2 linked regions of the Saccharomyces cerevisiae S288C genome follow. Each later gene encodes a partner of the first gene's protein in a complex. Each region holds a gene or a part of one and is shown on either strand. Other genes may lie near its edges. A codon is read from its position in the direction of its gene.

Evidence for each region.
Region 2: the proteins of YPT1 (region 1) and GDI1 are in contact, whole or in part, in a crystal structure (PDB 1UKV), measured with the Saccharomyces cerevisiae proteins. Residues at the interface, in NP_116615.1 of Saccharomyces cerevisiae: Thr40 (codon at 1,815), Ile41 (codon at 1,818), Gly42 (codon at 1,821), Val43 (codon at 1,824), Asp44 (codon at 1,827), Phe45 (codon at 1,830), Trp62 (codon at 1,881), Asp63 (codon at 1,884), Thr64 (codon at 1,887), Ala65 (codon at 1,890), Gln67 (codon at 1,896), Arg69 (codon at 1,902), Phe70 (codon at 1,905), Thr72 (codon at 1,911), Ile73 (codon at 1,914), Thr74 (codon at 1,917), Ser75 (codon at 1,920), Ser76 (codon at 1,923), Tyr77 (codon at 1,926), Arg79 (codon at 1,932), Gly80 (codon at 1,935), Asp107 (codon at 2,016), Arg108 (codon at 2,019), Tyr109 (codon at 2,022), Ala110 (codon at 2,025), Ser112 (codon at 2,031), Gly189 (codon at 2,262), Asn190 (codon at 2,265), Val191 (codon at 2,268), Asn192 (codon at 2,271); in NP_011062.1 of Saccharomyces cerevisiae: Thr5 (codon at 2,035), Ile6 (codon at 2,038), Tyr44 (codon at 2,152), Gln55 (codon at 2,185), Lys76 (codon at 2,248), Arg78 (codon at 2,254), Asn81 (codon at 2,263), Thr96 (codon at 2,308), Leu99 (codon at 2,317), Ile100 (codon at 2,320), Asp103 (codon at 2,329), Thr105 (codon at 2,335), Arg106 (codon at 2,338), Tyr107 (codon at 2,341), Asp109 (codon at 2,347), Phe110 (codon at 2,350), Lys111 (codon at 2,353), Gln112 (codon at 2,356), Ser156 (codon at 2,488), Cys221 (codon at 2,683), Gln222 (codon at 2,686), Ala225 (codon at 2,695), Arg226 (codon at 2,698), Tyr227 (codon at 2,701), Leu233 (codon at 2,719), Met236 (codon at 2,728), Tyr237 (codon at 2,731), Glu241 (codon at 2,743), Gln244 (codon at 2,752), Ala247 (codon at 2,761).

What each region holds. Positions count from the first base shown.
Region 1 is NC_001138.5:54,866-57,683, reverse strand, and holds YPT1 (Rab family GTPase YPT1), read left to right. Parts: upstream 1-1,697; coding exon 1,698-2,318; downstream 2,319-2,818. Other genes in the region: TUB2 (beta-tubulin), read right to left, coding at 1-1,348. UniProt on the Saccharomyces cerevisiae protein: The small GTPases Rab are key regulators of intracellular membrane trafficking, from the formation of transport vesicles to their fusion with membranes.
Region 2 is NC_001137.3:437,594-441,758, forward strand, and holds GDI1 (Gdi1p), read left to right. Parts: upstream 1-2,022; coding exon 2,023-3,378; downstream 3,379-4,165. Other genes in the region: YER134C (Mg-dependent acid phosphatase), read right to left, coding at 1-210; YER135C (uncharacterized protein), read right to left, coding at 359-751; YER137C (uncharacterized protein), read right to left, coding at 3,780-4,165. UniProt on the Saccharomyces cerevisiae protein: Regulates the GDP/GTP exchange reaction of SEC4 by inhibiting the dissociation of GDP from it, and the subsequent binding of GTP to SEC4. Plays an essential role in the yeast secretory pathway.

The sequences.
Region 1 (2,818 bases):
CATCTTGGTTTTGTGGAGCACCAAAATCGCCATTTTCGTCGACTTCTTCATCATCTTCTACAGTAGCCTCTTGGTATTGTTGGTATTCGCTAACCAGATCATTCATATTAGATTCAGCCTCAGAGAATTCCAATTCGTCCATACCTTCACTAGTATACCAGTGCAAGAAAGCTTTTCTTTTGAACATAGCGGAAAATTGGTCACCAACTCTCTTGAATAGCTCTTGAATAGATGTGGAGTTAGCAATGAAAGTAGCAGCCATGTCCAAACCTTGAGGAGCGACAGAACACACAGCAGTTTGCACATTGTTGGGGATCCATTCCACGAAATAGTCTGAGTTTTTAGATTGCACTTTATGCATTTCATCTTCCACCTCCTTAACGGAAACTTTACCTCTAAAGAAGGCTGCAACGGTAAGGTATCTACCGTTTCTTGGATCGGCAGCAGCCATCATGTTCTTGGCATCAAACATTTGCTGTGTTAATTCAGGGACAGTCAAAGATCTAAATGATTGAGAGCCAATTGCCGTCAATGGAGCGTAGCCGACCATGAAGAAATGTAAACGTGGGAATGGGACAAGATTAACAGCCAACTTTCTCAAATCAGAGTTCAATTGGCCGGGATAACGCAATGAAGTTGTCACACCAGACATGACGCTCGAGACCAAGTTGTTCAAATCTCCATAAGAAGGTTGATTCAACTTTAAGGTCCTTTGACAGATGTCATAAAGTGCTTCGTTATCGATACAGAATGTTTCATCAGAGTGTTCTACCAATTGGTGCACAGACAACGTGGCATTGTATGGTTCGACAACGGTGTCAGAAGTCTTCGGAGAGGGCAAGACGGAGAAGGTGGCCATCATACGATCAGGAAACTCTTCCCTAATCTTCGAGATCAAAAGCGTACCCATACCGGAACCGGTACCACCACCAAGAGAATGTGTGATCTGGAAACCTTGAAGGGAGTCGCATCCTTCGGCCTCTCGTCTAATAACATCCATGACGCTGTCTACAAGCTCAGCACCTTCTGTGTAGTGACCCTTGGCCCACACGTTGCCCGCAGAACTTTGCCCAAAGATATAATTGTCAGGTCTAAACAAATTCCCGATGGCAGAATTGCGTACTGCGTCAATCGTCCCAGGTTCTAGATCGACGTTAATAGATCTTGGAACCCACTTCCCAGAAGATGCCTCGTTGAAGTACACGTTCAGTCTCTCCTTCTGGATATCGTCATGGCCGTGATATGTCCCATTGAAATCCAAACCGTGCTCACCACAGATAGTTTCCCAGAATGCAGCACCAATTTGGTTACCACACTGACCTGTCGAGATATGAATGATTTCTCTCATTATATTACTTTGTGGAGATTTTGCTTTTGTAGTTGTAGTAGCTGCTATGTCACTCCAATTGCCTCACCACTACTTCACTTAGATCTATTAAAGTTTTCGTGTTTGTTTTAGTTTTTGTTGTTTTTTCTGTTTTTTTCCTTTTTCCTTGTGGCGTCGCCTAGGTCACTGTACACGTATATCGTGACCCGGCGCCAAATTCCTGATAGTACTATTTTTTTTGGCCCATGGGGGGAATAAAGAAAAAGAAGAGAAGCCAGAACAAATTCAGCGATTAAGTGCACCAGTTTTGAGGAGGATATCTTTACTGTTAGGCCCAGGTTGAAATAAATAAAACAAGAAAAGCACTAATATGAATAGCGAGTACGATTACCTGTTCAAACTGCTGTTGATCGGGAATTCCGGTGTCGGGAAGTCCTGTTTACTTTTGAGGTTTTCGGACGACACATATACCAACGACTACATCTCCACAATTGGAGTGGACTTCAAGATTAAGACTGTAGAACTGGACGGCAAGACTGTAAAGCTACAGATTTGGGACACTGCAGGTCAAGAACGTTTCCGTACTATCACTTCATCTTACTACCGTGGTTCGCATGGGATCATTATCGTGTATGATGTCACTGACCAAGAATCCTTCAACGGCGTGAAGATGTGGCTGCAAGAGATTGATCGGTATGCAACCTCAACAGTGTTGAAGCTATTGGTAGGTAACAAGTGTGATTTAAAGGACAAGCGTGTCGTGGAATATGACGTGGCAAAGGAATTTGCGGACGCGAATAAGATGCCGTTCTTAGAGACTAGTGCTTTGGACTCCACCAACGTCGAGGATGCGTTTTTAACCATGGCTAGACAAATCAAGGAAAGTATGTCCCAACAAAACCTGAACGAAACCACTCAGAAGAAGGAAGACAAAGGGAACGTCAACCTGAAGGGACAGAGTTTAACCAACACCGGTGGGGGCTGCTGTTGAACAAGCGCGCCTCTACCTTGCAGACCCATATAATATAATAACTAAATAAGTAAATAAGACACACGCGAGAACATATATACACAATTACAGTAACAATAACAAGAGGACAGATACTACCAAAATGTGTGGGGAAGCGGGTAAGCTGCCACAGCAATTAATGCACAACATTTAACCTACATTCTTCCTTATCGGATCCTCAAAACCCTTAAAAACATATGCCTCACCCTAACATATTTTCCAATTAACCCTCAATATTTCTCTGTCACCCGGCCTCTATTTTCCATTTTCTTCTTTACCCGCCACGCGTTTTTTTCTTTCAAATTTTTTTCTTCCTTCTTCTTTTTCTTCCACGTCCTCTTGCATAAATAAATAAACCGTTTTGAAACCAAACTCGCCTCTCTCTCTCCTTTTTGAAATATTTTTGGGTTTGTTTGATCCTTTCCTTCCCAATCTCTCTTGTTTAATATATATTCATTTATATCACGCTCTCTTTTTATCTT
Region 2 (4,165 bases), on another chromosome or scaffold:
TAACTTAACTCCATTATCTTTAAGATCACCTAGTATACGTGGGATATCTTTGTAGATTGTGAGCTCGTAACCATCTCTACATATAATTGTGAGAACTTCGCCATTACTACTTTTAACTGGCTTAAAGGGACCGTGCAAATGGGTATCACAATAGCAGGGCCAAATGGTGTAGTCCAAATCGAAGGCGGCCACGTCAGGGTATCCAGTCATAATAAACGCGTTGAGACTATTTTGGAGCAGGATTTGTAACAAAATTGTTCTCTTTGTAAGTTTAAGGACAAAAATGCTTGTTTCTCGAGAAGGTCTCCTTTTCGGCAGGTCCTTCTTCTAGTGCGTGAAAAATATTCTACTCAATCCCTTAGTATTCTTTGTAAACAATACACTTTAAAGAAATATGAATGCTTATCTGCTTTTCAACAATCATTTTAGAGTTCTTATTCACTGAGGTGCGAATGGGTACGAAATTTGTTTCAGGAGAATTTAGCTTGTTGCACACAAATTTCTGCCATTTATATCTGCAAGATCTGTTTCCCTCTTTCCAACTAGCGAGGCATATTAGAAAAAGAGTGAATAGTAACTTGTGTAAGTTTTGATGTAACGGTAGTATAGAGTACCTATAATATTCGCCGATTATATTCTCAAAACTTGTAAATAACGCCATGTCACCGTATGGAGAAAGTGCTAACCAAATTGTAATATCGACCAAGACCTTTTTCTGTGAATTATGTAAGTTTCTTAAAGTCCATGTCATGCTTGAAAGATTTTAATCAACCTTGCATTTGTGGTCGTTAAACTCAAAGGGGATATTCAAACGACAATCGACAACTAACTTCGAATAAACTAAGATTCACTTTATTGGGATATAATCAATTACCCTTCATTAAGTGGTGTATATGTTCCTGACGTATTGTCATTTTCGGGATAAGAGGTTTGATGACTATTTCTCGATTTTCATGTCATCCTCTTTACACCGTACGTGATAATACACTAATTACACGATATAACTGAGCAATGATATTTTAGAGCTTCATCTCCACAATTTCATGTGTAAATCTTAAGAATTGTAGATATATTCTATTTTTTAATGAAACTTTTTCAACAAATTAGGTTTCGTGGTCTAGTCGGTTATGGCATCTGCTTAACACGCAGAACGTCCCCAGTTCGATCCTGGGCGAAATCAATTTTTTTTTTCGAAAACGTTATAATTTACGTTAATTTACAAAGGGCATTCCTTTCATACTAAGCAATGTTTACTTCCAATCTCTTGAGACATCTTCGAAACTAGTTGAAAAGAGACAAATCCGCTTAATAACTAATAGTTACAAGAATGGCCAATCAAACTCTTGCCAAGCGATACAAGCTTTACAATCCTGTAACAAAAACATACTTTTAGCGGTTCCGACGGTATTCTTCTTTTTCTCCATATATTTTGCTTATGTTGGCTACTTTAAAATAATTACCGCTTCCCCCACCAGAAACTAAACATGAGCTAAAGGCGCAAAACTTAAAAAATTACATAGCCAAGACTGTTTTCAAGAAAAAAATATCAGACCACATTTGATAAAGTACATACCTCTGTTAACTCCCGTAATACACCCATATTCTTGTACTTTCTACAATCTATCACTCAAACTTCTCTATTATCCAACATCTGCTGTTGCATAGTAAAGTAGGCCGTAAACGCTCAAAACCGTTATCTTTAGGTTACCCTTATGTTTGAATCGTTTATCTCACATTGGCGGTGTTTTCCCCTCTCCTGTGGGCTCCAAAATCTTGGCCGTGGGAAGCTTCAGCGAGGGATTGTAGATGTAGTTTCAACACGTCGGCTGATTTATCCCGATTTTGTTAGTAGAAAAGGTTCTACTTCATTCTTGCTTGAGACGTCGTCCCATCAAATTTCTAACATAGTCTTTTTTCAAGGAAGGATATTTTTCAAAGCAGGACTGCAATTAGTCTTTTCCTTTTCTTTACTCCCCTTCCATCATAACTGTTAGTGAATAACCACTTATATAGCATAACACAATGGATCAAGAAACAATAGACACTGACTACGACGTGATTGTCTTAGGTACCGGTATTACCGAATGTATCTTATCTGGTTTACTCTCTGTAGATGGAAAAAAGGTATTACATATTGACAAGCAAGACCATTATGGTGGCGAAGCTGCTTCTGTGACCTTATCTCAATTGTATGAAAAATTTAAACAAAATCCGATCAGTAAAGAGGAACGGGAGTCCAAGTTTGGTAAAGATAGAGATTGGAATGTCGACTTAATTCCTAAATTCCTGATGGCCAATGGTGAGCTGACAAATATTTTAATACATACCGATGTGACCAGATATGTCGATTTCAAGCAAGTTTCTGGCTCCTACGTTTTTAAGCAAGGCAAAATTTACAAAGTGCCAGCTAATGAAATAGAAGCCATTTCATCGCCATTGATGGGTATTTTTGAAAAACGTAGAATGAAGAAATTTTTAGAATGGATTAGCTCTTACAAAGAAGATGACTTGTCCACTCATCAAGGATTAGACTTAGACAAGAATACCATGGATGAAGTGTATTATAAATTTGGGTTAGGCAATTCTACCAAAGAATTCATCGGTCATGCAATGGCTTTATGGACCAATGATGACTACTTACAACAACCTGCTAGGCCATCGTTTGAGAGGATTTTGTTATATTGCCAAAGTGTTGCCCGTTACGGTAAATCACCTTATTTGTATCCTATGTATGGGTTAGGCGAACTTCCACAAGGATTTGCTCGTTTGTCGGCTATTTACGGTGGTACTTACATGCTAGACACTCCAATTGATGAAGTATTGTATAAAAAAGACACAGGAAAATTTGAAGGGGTCAAGACTAAGCTGGGAACTTTCAAGGCCCCATTGGTTATTGCTGATCCAACTTATTTTCCCGAAAAATGTAAATCTACTGGTCAAAGAGTTATTAGAGCCATCTGTATTCTTAACCATCCAGTTCCGAACACCAGTAACGCGGATTCTTTACAAATTATTATCCCACAAAGCCAACTGGGAAGGAAAAGCGATATATACGTTGCGATTGTTTCAGATGCGCATAACGTTTGCTCCAAGGGTCACTATTTAGCAATTATTTCTACAATCATTGAAACTGATAAACCACATATAGAATTAGAGCCTGCTTTCAAACTTCTGGGACCAATCGAAGAAAAATTCATGGGAATTGCCGAATTATTTGAACCAAGAGAAGACGGCTCTAAGGATAACATTTACTTATCCAGATCATACGACGCATCCTCTCATTTCGAATCCATGACTGACGATGTTAAAGATATTTACTTCAGAGTAACAGGCCACCCATTAGTTCTAAAACAAAGACAAGAACAAGAAAAGCAGTAAATTCATACCTTTACGACTAAAGCAGCAATTGGAGGGTAAACTTATTTTTTCCGATAATGTTCTTGGCAAATGAGTTACCAATAAATGACATGAATTACAGAAAACAAGAAAATATTTGCCAAAAAAAAACCAATACAAAAATATAGGGGAAAAGATTATCCTTTATTCCTTTCTCATTCCACTTTTTTTTTTTGTTATATGCGTATTCTGATTGATTCATAACTAAGTATCTTTCCTTTTCTTTTCTTTCAATTTCTTTTTTCCATATATAAATACATAAATTTACATACCTTATGTAGTATAATATATGGAAGAATGCTACTGAACACATCAGTACACATGCTATGTACTTACAATCTTAGTAAGGTAGATGTAGGTCTAATGCTTCGATGATCCCTTCATTATTTCTTGGGTATAACTGTCAGTCTCGCACCGCAGTGTGCCCTTGTGTGGCCAGCCTCGTGACAAAATGAACATTTTATCTTATTTTTTTTCTTTTTACTACTCTTTTTGCTGGTTACTCCCTGAATAGTGCTCGTAGTTTTATCTGCCTCTTCCTTGGCTTTAATCGGTATCAGGGCATATTTTTGATCGTCTTTTTCCATGATCTCTATTCCATTCCGCAGTACCATGTCAAGAACACTAGTATTCATCATACTTCCCACAGTGCTTTCATGCAATCCCAGTAGTAGGTTAATGAATTTCTCTAATTCTTTCAACTTATGCTCGTACTCAACTTGTAATTGTGATCCATCTTTTTGCTTTGAAATGATCAACTTAGCCAGGA